Linked DNA regions of Oreochromis niloticus. The protein of the gene in region 1 interacts with the protein of each later gene in a biochemical or structural test. Links are inferred from orthologs where the notes say so. Each region holds a gene or a part of one and is shown in the gene's direction. Other genes may lie near its edges.

Region 1 (6,909 bases):
AAATATAGAAAATGATCAAATGATGCTTCAGACTCAGTGATTGGTGATAAGAAAGAATTGGAAAAGCAGGTAAATGTAACTGGCTTTCTTTTTACTTAAAAAGAAAATTAAAAAAAAAACTTTTAAAAAAATCAGATTTCTTAACATTGAATGTAGTAGAACTGGCCATTTCCAATAGTATAAAACATTTTTAAATGTCCCTCTGAACTTTTTTCTCATATTGATAAAGATTCCCTTCCGGCTGATTTTCAATAAAGTTTCATTGAAACGACCTTCCCAGTCACCATCCGGGCCTCTTACAAACACCCCATCGCGCATGCGTACTCTTCCACTGTGGTTCGACCTCTGCAGTCGGTAAGTGTGTAATGGCAGTTTGAATGAGAAGCGTATCTTTATAAATCCCTTTTCATCCTTTCTTTAAGCTTCGCATTGCAGTGCACAAGTGAGGATAGCATACAGAACGGATGTGAATGCACTTATGAATGCTGTTATTTTCTCTGCTGGGCATTTTTACACCCGTTTGACCTTAATTCTGTCCAATCTTCCCTCCATAGAGAGACCCGGGCTTCAACCAGATTTGACCGAACCGGTTAAAACTACCTAAAGTAGAAAATGTACGCCTGCGCTAAGTTCGTCTCCACGCCGGCTGTGGTGAGTTTTCTCCTCGTCTGTGTTTCTTTGAGTCGGACTTCTCTTAATGTCGCTAATAAAGCCGGTGGGCCTCTGGTTGAACTTGACTGCAGCTTTCCTGCAAGGGTATCAGACTAGGCCGGGAGTTTAGCCGGCTAATGCTAAACCAGTAATTCACAATCCCCTTTTAATGGCAGCAGAATGGGTGCAATGTTAATGAAATTTACGCATGCGATTTTTTTAATTGTTAATAATGCATCTATAATCCTGCGTTAGCCTTTAGCACATAGCTCCCATTATGGCCGCTAGCTAAGGTCATTTAGGCCTTCTGTTAGCAGAACAAGGCGCAGACAGAGTGCACAAGACCCCGCACTTTGCAAACAATACAGAAATGGTTGCATTTTCCGTTTGGGCTGCCAGCTTGCACGTACATATATCCTGGAATGTCTTTATCCAAGGTCATGATACTGGTTTTGGAGGCTAACCAGTTTGAATGACAGCACAAATGGGTGTTAGCTAACTTGCATTGTATTTTTATTGTAATATGCCAACATCATTGCTCAACAGTAAACTTTTAACGCTACTTGCAGTCATCACTGAATGCCACAGGTCACACAGTGCAATGAAAAACACTGAGACATTCAAGGTGTCATCCACCTTCACACATGCCCACAAATGGGGAATAGTTGCCACTGTTAAAGATAAGATAAGATAAGATAAGATGGCCTTTATTAGTCCCACAGGTGGGAAATTTGTTTTGTTACAGCAAAAGTGCAAAGTTATGTAGCAGAAATTAGAAGCACATGTGTTGTGTGTTACTGAGCATACAGTCATGTAAATTGTTTATCTAGACTCATTATTCATGTTTTTGGTCTTGTTGTTGCAGGTCCGTGCTGGTTCCCGGGTTCTTTACCGACCTCTGTCTGCCTCTGTGCTGTCCAGGCCTGATGTTAAATCGGAGGTAAGAAGAAATGCAGGCTTTCTGCAACTTCTTCAGCCCTTCTTAACAGTGCAGTGTTGGAAATTATTACCTAAATTACCACTGTCAATTTTATAGAGCACATTTCATAATACGTAAACTCAGTGTGCTTACCATATAAGATAAAGACGAGCTATGCAAATCTGCAGTCTCTGAAAGCAATAAAAGCAACAAAACAAAGTTTTAAAAGAAATAAAATACAAGTTAAAACAAACATGCAATAAATAGTACAACCTTTATGTGCGCATTTCTGCTCTGTAGTTTATCTTTAAGTTTAAAACTTGCAGGTAAATTGGCAAATTTTTTTGATTAATGGTGTGACAGAACTGGTTGAAATTTCCCTAAATTTCACACTATGCCTCCTATATTACTCCTGTCATCTGCTGCCACACTGTTTTAAATGTCAGCTGATGTTTACATTGAGGCGGGCAACGAAAGGACAGTGTTTACAGTGCCTCTTCTCTTGTTACAGAGCAGCGTTGCTCTGCTGCCCCAGAGCCCCCTGAGCCAGGCTACACTGAGAGGCTTCCAGACCAGCGCTATCAGCAGGGACATTGACACTGCCGCCAAGTTCATTGGTGCCGGAGCCGCCACAGTCGGAGTAGCTGGATCTGGTGCTGGAATTGGGACAGTGTTTGGTAGTCTCATCATTGGCTATGCTAGGTTTGTTTTAATTTCAGTGTCTTTATTCTTCACTATGACGCTAATTGATTCCTTGTGTGTTCTGTAAATGTGCTGATGGCTTCTTTTCTTCCTTTCTTTGCAGGAACCCATCTCTGAAGCAGCAGCTGTTTTCATACGCTATCCTGGGATTCGCCCTGTCTGAAGCCATGGGACTGTTCTGTTTGATGGTGGCTTTCCTTATCCTGTTCGCTATGTAAAACTCTGCTGTCAGACAAAATTTTCATTACAGATGTGACTACATATTTTATTGTGGCTACCAAAATTGTTCCGTGTTGGTGTCATGGGAAATGTACATTTTCAAGTCTTTTAGACACTGTCAAAAAAGCCAAGACATGTATTGTACAAATGTAAGAAATTACGTGATTAAAATACATGTGTTTGACTATTTAACAATGGCAGTAACTTTTATGTCTGGATTATAAATGGTAACACAACTGAAAGCACTTGGCCTTCATGAATGTCATCTTTTCTGTGAAGCAGGTGCTTAGGCTTGCCATTACTCAGCCTTGTTTTCATAGACCATAACATGCAAGCTTTTTGGGGTCCACCTTAATGACTTTTTGGTTCAGCTGCACTTAAGTAATATTGTATTCAGGCAGCAAGTGAGTGCTTGCTTTTGTAAATGCCACTGAATAAACCTAGCTGATTTTAATTGAGCTAAGTAATGGGTTTTGAATTTTTTGACTCGTGATGAAAGTCCCGGTTTCAAAAGCTGACAGATTGTAGTCATTACACCTTTATTGTTGGCTGCTTTCACTGGCTGAGCTTAAATTTGAAGAGGTAAAATCAGTCTTCAAAAATGCCAGAGATGATAATCATTAAGTCACTTATCAAGCAGAAATGCTCAACATTCATTGTCAAGGATGATCTTTAAATATCTCAATTTAATTTCTGGCTTACCCCAACTGTTGCTGTACAATCCTTTACTATGATAAGGTAATATTTGTCACTTGTCATGGAAAAAAAAATAAAAAAATGCTACCACATAGATCTAAATGTATAGCAATATAAAATGGTGATATATATACAATATAGTTCAAAATGGAGTGTATAATGTAAACTAGTGCAGTTAACTGGGGGTGGTTTATGGTTTATATCCACCCTTTTTCTCACACATCCAAAACAGCTCATGGGGGACTGGAGCCTTTCACAGATTGCCTAAAATCATGTTAAAAAACTTAAGTCTTGACCATCAGCAGTGAAAAAAGGATTCTGGTCAGATAACATATATGATCTGTTACCTTTTTAACACTTAAAAAAATCTTGGAAGGTTACAATATTAAACAATAATAAAGATAAAAATAATAATAATTAAAAAATGAATAAAGATTGTTTTATGTATAAAAAAATAATAAAAGGGATGAAGCTGGAGCCTCCAGAAAACACTGAAAACTAAATCAGTAATTTTCTGAAAGGAGAAACATCAGAAATATGACTTGTTAGCAAGGATTTTTTATATGCCTTAAAACATTTCTGCTTCTCCTAATTCTTTTCCAAAACTACTTGAAGGTCAATGACAGAACAAGAGCAAAGTGTATGTGGCTCATCTGTCCGAGTGTGACGTTTACGGAAGAGTCATAGCTGTTCTCGCGATGCTTTAGTACGACCGTGGGATTTTGGAAATCAAGGGTTGTGGCTGAGGGGGTAAGTGACCACATAAACTGATAGCGAATGGGTAAAAAGCTGTGGTAAAAGACATAATTGCTGGGACCGTGAGGTACTCGTGCTCCGTTACGACGAGACAGCCTTGAAACAAACGCTGACATCTCCTTTGTTTACAGTGATATTTAGCTCCTAATATGGCGACGCTAGTATGTTAACGCAGGGCTCAGGCTATTCCGTGGAAGCGACTGGAAGAGATGAGCGCTACCTATGTAGTAACGTAATAGTGAGATGTTCATGTGTGTGATGTCTGTTTGCGATGAGCTGCTATATTTACAGCACAGAAGCTGTCAGATGATGATAGCCCTGGATGCGTGGCTCAGTCGCTTGTTGTGCCAAAACAAGTGAAGCGATAATCCTCTTTATGATGACACCGAGTGTAAACAACCAAAGCAGCCGCCCTGCATCCATAGGCTTTGTCCAAATTTCCAGCTCTGCTTTCTAACCACTGCATCCTCCAACCACCCTGTATTTACACATTTATGAGCTACATTTATTCTCACAAATTATTATTTGCTATAGCCCTATTTGTATACCGTCAGCTCTTGAAATATACATCATTGCATATCTGCAGGTGTGATATTTATTTATATATTTTTTATTTTTATTTTTTGTGTTTTTATTTCAGGGCGAGGTAACAGGAATTCCTTAATATGAGTGATGATAAACCTTTCCTATGTACTGCTCCTGGGTGTGGACAGGTAAGTTTTTGATCACAGGTGTTTCATAAATCTCACTGTACAGATGAACATGACTGGATCCACATTTCCACGTCCAAAAAACAAACAAACAAACAAACAAATACGTTGCTAACTGGTCACTGCTTCATTGTATATAGACCCAAACAGTTTATTTAAAAAAAAAAAAGTGCCATATGAGCACAGTACAAACTAAAGCAAACATGGTGTTAAATCGCTAAGTTTAAAACATATCCCATCATAACAATACTGGAAACATTTATAATAGGGTAAACGTCCCAACACCTACTCATATACATTGATTTGGGGCTCTAAGGAACTTAATCACAATGCCTAGTTGGTAATCAGGTGCTCTGTTTTTTGTTATGATTTTTTTTTAAGTCATTTTGACATACTCTATGTATTATATGATCTAAAATCCACTAAAGTGTAGGTTTTGGTCAAAATCTACACTTAACTAATTAATTTTTGTGCTAAAATACATAAAATTCAGATGTACTGAATCCAAAAAGTATTGAAATCATCCTAAAAGACTCACAATCTGTCATCTTAAAAAAAAGATGCTCGATGGAAATGAAATATATGCAAATACCATTGCCAGTGATTTAAATGACAGTTTGACCAATAAGCAATGATGATCTGCATTTTTCAAATTTAGTTTTTCTTCTTAATTTTTCCCTCTTGTCTGCATGGGGGAAAAAAAACAAATATTCATTTGAAAAATAAAGTATTTTGGCTCATCAAAACAAAATTAATGTGACTAAATAGATCAAAATAACCTTCTTCATTTGTTTAGTTACTGCTCATCTAATATCTGGAGATGCTTAATTTGACTTAATGTATATAAATGGGTCTTCATAGTCCCCAGATCCTTTTCCCAATTCTGAGGACATGTCTAGTGTGTCACAGGTGTTAGATGTGTATTTGCTGTACTCAGTCAGTTGTCTGATAAGTACGTACGTAGATCGTGCTATCTAACCTCATGAAGTCCAATGTCCAGTGTTTGTTAGAGTCCATTTTACTTAGTCAGGTCTGCTTTACATCCATAGTAACATTAGAGACCTTTGGCTTTGTTGCTGCTCAGTTGTTCGTGGTTTTGGTCAGCAGGATTTGTTTCTGTTGTTTAGTCAATACTCATAAAACTTAACGGGTTGGGCACAATTATATAACAGCTTTCGCAGTTAAAGCTTATAATGAGTTTCGACAGCCACACGTTTGAGGCAGTAAAGCTGTCAAGCTAGAATCCAGCCATGACGTAGAAGACTAAATTATTGGTCAGAATTAAAATTTTAAGGTTTAAGTAAGACTTCTTTCAGTCACATCAGTCACACTTGCTGTATTTTTTTGAAACCTTGCATAGAGATTCACAAATGAAGACCACTTGGCTGTCCACAAACACAAACATGAGATGACCCTGAAGTTTGGCCCTGCTCGGAATGACAGTGTTATCATTGCAGGTGAGTGCTCTGTTAGATGGAATATTCAGAGGTGATGGATGCTTTACATTTCCATCTCTGTGCTCAAGAGTTTCCTCCCTTGCAGACCAAACCCCAACGCCTACTCGCTTCCTGAAGAACTGCGAGGAGGTCGGGCTCTTCAATGAACTCGCCAGTCCTTTTGACCATGACTTCAAAAAAGCCACTGAAGATGAAATTAAAAAGGTGGTTCTCGCTGTTAAATGTGTAAGCAGATCATCTGAGCCTTGTCTGTGTTCACTCTTGTGATCATTTTGGGCTTCTTGTTGTTCCACAGCTACCCCTGGATTTGTCACCTCTTGCGACACCTATCATACGCAACAAAATTGAGGAGCCCACAGTGATAGAGACACATCGAGATAGCCCTTTGCCTCATCCTGAGTCTACTACAAATGATGACAAGGTAGGCACTTTAAGCTGCCTCTGGCATTTTTTCTTACCATAGAGCATTTACAACGCTGTAATGAAGGACGTTCTCTACTCCTGTGATCAGAAATTTGCAAATCCGCTTTGTGAAGCATTGGGACTTTCTGCTTAATATAATTTAATTTTGAACTCTTAACTTGTCTTATTCTGTTGTGAATACACTAAAACTGAAAAGATTAGCAGTACTACACACATATTAGTTGGATTCAGACGAATACCTTTTACTTGATTGCTCATATTATTTATTCCTGATGTTGAGGAAAGAGTAACAGCATCTTATTATAGGAAACATTCAAGTAATCTGGTGTCAGTTAAACACTTCATTCAGCTAAGGTCTTCTATGATGTTTCCAGGA
Region 2 (7,365 bases), on another chromosome or scaffold:
GTCAAACACAAGATTACGCTTTGTGATCAGGTTTTTGTGTGTGTAATGAAGAGATCCGGCTCTACCTTGGTGCTGTCCACTGATGATGAAAGCGAGTCAGGAGGATGCTGACTGCACCCAGGGGTGTCCCCGCCAGGCGATGCTGTGCTACAGCTGGACGATAAGTCGAACTCAGTGCTGGAGTCTGGATGCATGGTTTCATTAAAAAATAAAAATTCAAAATAAAATTAAATCACCGCATAAGAGACTGAACAGTCAGTCTGTGCTAGACAGAAAACGGATGTCCCGGACGCCTATATTCCATTTGCCAGGTTCATAACTGTGCACATAGTGGAGAGGCCCGCCTTTTATAGTGAGCTGGAATTTTATGAATGAAATCTGTGTGGTGAGACCGAACCATTTCACCGAGGGAGAAGTGACAGGAGAAAGGGGCTAGCAGATGGGTTTTTTTACAGTTCAACAATCAAATCATTGAAGTGCGTAAAAATCAACACTAGCCCACTGTTTTATTTCAGCTTATTATCAGAACTCAAATGTTTTTTTTTTTAAAGTGAGCACATAGAAAATGGCACCCCTCCCTCCAAAAGGTGCCCACCGCCATGAATGAACTACGTCACTTCATGTATGCAGCATCTGCATCACAGGCTATATGTTCCCGTCATGCCCTCATATGTTCTCGACATTTAGCCTTTGTTTAATGCTTCTGGGCATTTACGGTAACACGAGCTCTCAATGCATTAGAAGGAAAGTGGAGGCAGTGTAATAGGCTTCATTAATAAATGGTTTTAAAATAGCCAGTGTGGTGCTTCCCCGGTTCTTTCTCCTCCAAACTGTCCACATTAGAACAATGATTATGCACTAATGTTCCATCATCTATTTATAGACACATAATAAAATCCGGCATTAATTTAATTATTTCACAGCACACTTCCAGCACACTGCCTGATTATTTATAAGCCGTCATAATTAAGTGTCATTCACGTATCACATTGCCTTTCACCTGTCTCTACATATGAATAGAGCTCCAGCAACAGAACTGTCGCTGAAGCCAAGCAGCCAATCGCCGAATGGACCGGTCGAGCCATATATGGTATTTCCGGGAGGGGTGGGGGGATGGGGGGGTGCTGTGGCACAAGGATAGGAAGGATAGCGCGCAGACGGACGCTGCCGGGCTGTGTGTGGCCCACTCACTCGCTGCCGCAAAAAGAAAGTAAAACAAGCTCTCAGAGATTGACCCTGTGCTGTACCTGATATCAGCGTCATCAGCTGCGCCAAGAATGCCCGCACAGGCGTTAGTTTGAGGATGCGAAGGATTTGACCCACCTTTCCATATAAGGGTGGCAATTAGGTGCAGCCGCAGATGTGCAAAACAGACTCATGAGGGAATCGGAGAATTCAAGAAGGCCAGTGACTGACATAATTTCTAGACAGGAACAACGTGACTTACTTTCTCACAGACGGTAATGCAGTTTATCGGCACCAATTAAAGCCCGGGCTTTAATTGATGTTCCCGCATAACCTAATTCTGCTCCCATAACAAGAGCTTGCGGGCCGGATTGGGCTATATTTAGGTTTCATGTGACCTCACGAACCCATCCAAGTGAAAGGGATAAGCGCTGGATAGAGTGAGAAGCTCCCCCCTGTTTGCTCTGCGCTCCCGGGTACTTCCCGGCAGTGGCAACCCCCCGCCTTGGGCCCTATTTACCGGCACATCACTATTGGTGGTCGTTTTGAGCGGCCTGGGACAAAAAGAAGTTCAAAGGTCGAACAATACTCACCTCTCAGCACAGCTCTAACAGTCGTTTTCTTCAAAGCAACTTGAGCGTGAATGCGCAAAGACTGTAGAATTTATTTTTAGATCCACTGGCATCCAAGTTCACGGTCATTTTAGTGAACTGTTCTCCTTTGAGGAGCCAAAGAGCAGCGATAAAAAAAAAAGAAAAAAAGAAATAACTTCAGGTATTAGATAGCATTTAGATAGTATTTAACTTTAAATACTTTTAAAAACAGCAATAAAAAATATGTTTTTATTTTAGAAATTGCCTTTCTTTCTTTCTTTCTTTCTTTCTTTTTATCATTATTATTATCATTATTATCATTATTATTATTATTATTATTGTTATTATAATTTTATTTCGATTCCAGTCTCAGTCCAACACGAAATAACACCAGCAAAAACCAGGTCACTCAAACAGTGCAGGTCAGCAACCTTCATGCCAACCACTCAAACAGAACTCAAACACCGCTCAAGGTAAACGGCTTGTTTGGTGTCCCGTTCCATTCCGTTGACCCGCAGACACCGAGGAAAGGGGAGGACTGTCAGAGATGGGAAAACACTCAGAGCTCTCACTCCGACGACGTTTCCGGGAACCGCTAATGACGTGTTCATGTGCACGTTCCGTCTCCACAGGCGATGCCGAAAAAGCCGGTTTGGTGTTTCTCTGTTGATGCGGCTCCTCCTCATGATTAGACACGATCTTCGTTGCTATGAAAAAATAAAAAATAAATGGACGTCACTGACGCGAAAGGGGCTGGGCGTCGCTATGACAACCAGGAATGTTCAACAAAACACTGGCGCGGGAAAGAAAGCGCAAAATCCTATAGCCTGAATTAGAGCCTTTTGACACAATGACACCTTTGTTTAGTCTTTATGGTTTGTTTAATGGGTCGAGAGCGCTTATGGTGCTTGTTTTGTGCTTGTTTAGTTAAAGAAGGGAATTCCCGGAAGACTCACGAGAGAGAGAAAAAAAGAAGAAGAAAAGTATGAATTGTGTTTCATTAAACTCATGTATCATGAATGTATCGCCTTTATTAAGAATAAACCATGAACAAAACTACCAGCAAATGTTGCTGACTTTGGTAATATTGCACGAAAGTCATGCTGCTTGTTCCACAGACCTACTTCTCAAGTGAACAGGATAATAAAAAAAAAAGTGCTGATGTCAGAGAACGAACAGTTATTAAACAGCAAATGCAGTCGCAATGTTGGCTCACCGTTAAGCCTGCATTTCATGAATTCGTTTCATAGCTTCTTACGTAAATCTTGAGGATTCCCTCTGCTAGTGGCTTTGGGGAAGACCTTTACAATTAACCGCCACCCCTCCCCATCTCCTGTCGTCGAGGAAACGTACACACAGAAAACCAGTTATCAGCTCGCTCTGCAGCTAAACACGCCCTGTTCTGGATTGCAGGCGAAAGGTACAAACAGTACCTGAGGGTGGAGAACATGTCACCCATGTCCTGACATGCAACGTTTATGTAGAGATATTTTAGACTGACTATGAAACAATTCCATTGTAACTTACTGGATATAAACGCATCTGGGATTAAGTAAGAAAAATACATGAATACAAAAATTAAATAAATAAGTAAATTAAAAGTCGGTTTACTTTAGAAAACGGACAGACCACAGAATCAAGTAAAAATTAATTACCCACCATTTTCTCGCTTATTCTTATCTTTATTTTTAATTATTCTTTGTATTTCGTGACCTACACATGCAAATGCGGACCTTCTGTGATTGTATGGATTGTCTCGCATTAAGTGTGTAACCATTTATCAAATTAAACACTTTAAAAATAGCCGATAAGTGAGTCAGTGAGTGAAGTTAGCGAGTACGTAAATAACATGTTATTTATATGCCAAATTTCAAGATGAATATCACAAAGTGCTTCACCACAAGCCGAAAGTTTGCACGATAAAACTGAGTTTCTATATTTCAAAAACATAAAAATAAAAAAGGAGGTGCGCGGCTGGGGGAGGGGGTTAAAAAAAACAGAAACAGATTTTTTTTTTTTTTTTCATGTGTTTGTTTGGTACATTTTGTTCAGCACAGACGCATTTGCATGTTTAATTGTGTCCTTGCTGTGTAGGACGCACTTTTCCTCACTGTTATCTCAGTTCTTTAAGTTTTCACAACAATCTCTGTTTGTTGTTTTACATAACGTCATGCCGCTGTCCGCCACTCTCACGGTGTATTTCCCATCAGGCCCCGCCTCCTTCACAGGATGCACCATATATGGATACCTACGTATCGGGGATCCCGCTCCGGAATATTCCATTTCTTGAAGACGAGTTTTAGAAATAAACATTTCAAATAGTCACTTATCACCTGTAAATGACTCATTCGTGACTCGTGCAAACAAACTGTATTGAATTTAAATGGAGCGCGAGGAAAAGTCGGTGTTATTACCGCGTTGTTAAGTCAGTGTTTTGGTGTTTTTTTTCCTTCCTGGTGTCGGGTGCACGGCACACCCCTCTTTACGTCAGCAGACAGTATATAAATGGCCCAGCTCGGAGAGTTGGCAGTCTAACTTTGAGTAGCAGAACAGCGACTAAGAGAACTGATCGGGAACAGCGCTTGAAGAGTTTTCTCGCAAACCCACTAAAGGACTATCCTGACCTCAAGTTTACATTCGTCCTTAGTAGAGTTTGTCCGGATCTTCTTATCTGCTTAATTTTTTTTCGAAAAAAAGGAACGATGATGTTCAATTTCAACGCGGATTGCGACTCTTCCTCTCGCTGCAGCACCGCTTCCCCGTCCGTGGACACTCTGGGATATTACCCGTCACCAGCGGGATCTTACTCCAGCATGGGATCTCCCCAGTCTCAGGTATGTCCGCTTAAACATTGTTAAATTTTTACAGCACGCTATTTCAGCTCAGAAAGGACCTGTTGGAGATTTGGATGTTTACTAAATTAAACTGACAAAACTTAAAAGTGATGTTTTCAGATAATAATAATGGTAATAATGAAAAAGGCTGGCTGGAAATTAAGAAAAGCACTCATTGAGTTTTGTTTTTAAATATGTATATATATATTTTAAAAAATAACTCTGACCTGCGCACCAAACAGTGCAAGGCAAGCTTCATTCATCCACCTGGAAACTCCATAGAGAGAGTGTAACGTCATAGCTGACATCATAAGGATATTTTTAAACCATCCAGCTTTTTATAGACCCTCCGTGCTTCATTCATAGACATCTTGCAATGCTGCCACCCCTCCTGATAATGTACTAAACGTCCTGACGATCTTCTCTTTTATTTCATTTCCTCCAGGATTTCACAGACCTGACAGCATCAAGTGCCTCCTTCATCCCCACAGTCACGGCCATTTCCACGAGCCCAGATCTTCAGTGGATGGTCCAGCCTGTGGTCTCCTCAGTGGCCCCTTCCCACGGAGCTCACCCTTACACCTCCAGCCCCAGCCCTGCATATTCAAGAGCAGTCATGAAATCTGCAGTGTCCAGGGCTCACAACAAGAGAGGCAAAGTGGAACAGGTAATTATCATTCGTTCATGAAGTGTTATATATAGTCATAGACTAAGTTTATTAAAGAGCAGGGGTCCTAACTTTTACCTTCTATCATGTGCAGATGACACCTGAGGAGGAAGAGAAGAGAAGGATTCGCAGAGAGAGGAATAAGCAGGCAGCAGCAAAATGCCGCAACAGGAGGCGAGAGCTTACAGACACTCTGCAAGCTGTAAGTATCCCATCAGACTTACCATCACTCATTAAAACGTGTTTATTGTCAGAGCTAATAGCAGAGCTATCCAACAGCCAAGCTGATGCAACTTCCTCCATTTCTCTCTCTTACAGGAAACTGATATCCTGGAAGACCAGAAATCCAACTTGCAGAATGATATCGCCAACCTGCTGAAGGAGAAGGAGAGGCTTGAGTTCATTCTGGCTGCCCACCAGCCCATTTGCAAAATCCCCTCTGAGCTGGGCACGGACTTCCCCCTGACCTCCCTCTCTCCTACCCATTCCTGCCACTCCGCTGCAGTGTCCACCCAGCCACAGATCACCGTCTCTCAGACACCTGCTATCGCTTCCAGCCAGCCGACCTTCACCTCAACCTCCAACTCCATCTTCTCCAGCACCAGCACCGCCCTCTCCACAGCCACTGTCTCTAGCAGCACAGTCAAGATGTCAGACCTGGAGTCCTCTGTCCTGGAGGAGTCTCTGGATCTCCTGGCAAAGACAGAGATGGAGACGGCACGGTCGGTGCCAGAGGTCGACCTGTCCAGCTCCCTCTACACGGGTCAGGAGTGGGAGGCTCTTCACACCTCAGCTAATACCAATGACTTCGAGCCCCTGTGCACACCTGTAGTAACCTGCACCCCAGCCTGCACTACCTTCACGTCTTCATTTGTATTCACCTTCCCAGAGGCAGAGACCTTCCCCACCTGCGGCGTTGCCCACAGGAGAGGAAGCAGCAGCAATGAGCAGTCCTCCGACTCCCTCAGCTCACCCACCCTGCTGGCCCTCTAAAAGACTGTACAAGAAACAATGATTCTTCCTATCAAAGCACACTTTCTTACATAGATGTGCCGATCACAGGGCTATGGAACAGACTTATATTAAATTATTTATGATTTTTATCTGCCTTTATCTATACTTGCCTATAACACCAATGTAGCAAGTTTAAAAAACAAAAACAAAAAAACCCCTCCCCGCATGTTTCAACTAATACCACCTAGTCGTTATATGAGTTCGTATATGATTTATATGGTGCTAGATAACATAACTTGTTGTTTATCGATGTGTGTTCAGAGCAATAGTTATTATTGATCCAGTTTGTTTTCTGGTTAATGGAATGTGAGAGTTAATATGTGAACTGTTTGTGAAATTTTAAAAAGAAAAAAAACAAACAAAAAAAGACGTGCATTGTCTTAACCATGGTCTGAGTGGTCTATCCGAAGTTTTCTGTGAAAACATTAGTCCTTTTAATTTATTAAATTTATTTTTTTACACATAGAGGAATAGAGAAAGAGATAGTAAAGAAGAATGTTGTTTGTAAGTTATGTAAATAAAAAGATAGTGATATTTCAATTCAATCATCTGTGCTGGCTGGGTGTGTTGCTTCCTCTCATGATATCCACACACACACACACACACACACACACACGCATTTACATATTTATTCAGTTCAATTCAGGTGTATTCATCAGTCACCTCATGGGGCAAGGACTTTGCGACAGCGGGAAGGAAAAACTCTTTTTAACAGGAAGAAACCTCGCCCCATGTTTAGGGGAAGAGAGGCAAAGGAAAAATAATTAAAGAAAAGATGAAAGAGAAAAATAATAAAAGAAAAAATAAAAGAGGGGAATATTCTCAGGAGTAGTAAATTAAAAGCATTTCCAGTAAAATGCTTTCAAAAATGATTAAAATAATGCTAAAATTAGCTTATATAAGGGATAGCCATCTTTTTTCCCTGCACCTCCACTTGCTCTATTTATTGTTCCGCCTGTTGCCAGGGTTAACTATGTCAGGGGCTCTTACGTCAGTGCGTTCTTTCCATTTTTTTAATCGCAAGCCGTGCGCGATGACGTCTGGACTTCCGTGCCCAAATATAGGGCTTTGC

The links.
Region 2: the proteins of atf2 (region 1) and fosab form a complex in vitro, tested with the Homo sapiens proteins (3 studies listed by BioGRID and IntAct, with this or other methods). The link is inferred for Oreochromis niloticus from reciprocal best matches to the Homo sapiens genes ATF2 and FOS.

Annotation. Positions count from the first base shown.
Region 1 is NC_031987.2:16,730,773-16,737,681, reverse strand, and holds the start of atf2 (cyclic AMP-dependent transcription factor ATF-2), read left to right. Parts: upstream 1-3,844; 5' UTR 3,845-3,937; intron 3,938-3,962; exon of another isoform or gene 3,963-4,010; intron 4,011-4,024; exon of another isoform or gene 4,025-4,423; intron 4,424-4,583; 5' UTR 4,584-4,608; coding exon 4,609-4,656; intron 4,657-6,013; coding exon 6,014-6,110; intron 6,111-6,195; coding exon 6,196-6,314; intron 6,315-6,405; coding exon 6,406-6,531; intron 6,532-6,907; coding exon 6,908-6,909. Other genes in the region: atp5mc3a (ATP synthase membrane subunit c locus 3a), read left to right, coding at 613-651, 1,517-1,591, 2,082-2,272, 2,376-2,490. UniProt on the Homo sapiens protein: Transcriptional activator which regulates the transcription of various genes, including those involved in anti-apoptosis, cell growth, and DNA damage response.
Region 2 is NC_031980.2:9,324,687-9,332,051, forward strand, and holds fosab (v-fos FBJ murine osteosarcoma viral oncogene homolog Ab), read left to right. Parts: upstream 1-4,300; 5' UTR 4,301-4,480; coding exon 4,481-4,612; intron 4,613-5,057; coding exon 5,058-5,279; intron 5,280-5,373; coding exon 5,374-5,481; intron 5,482-5,597; coding exon 5,598-6,272; 3' UTR 6,273-6,838; downstream 6,839-7,365. Other genes in the region: proto-oncogene c-Fos, read right to left, coding at 66-194. UniProt on the Homo sapiens protein: Nuclear phosphoprotein which forms a tight but non-covalently linked complex with the JUN/AP-1 transcription factor. In the heterodimer, FOS and JUN/AP-1 basic regions each seems to interact with symmetrical DNA half sites.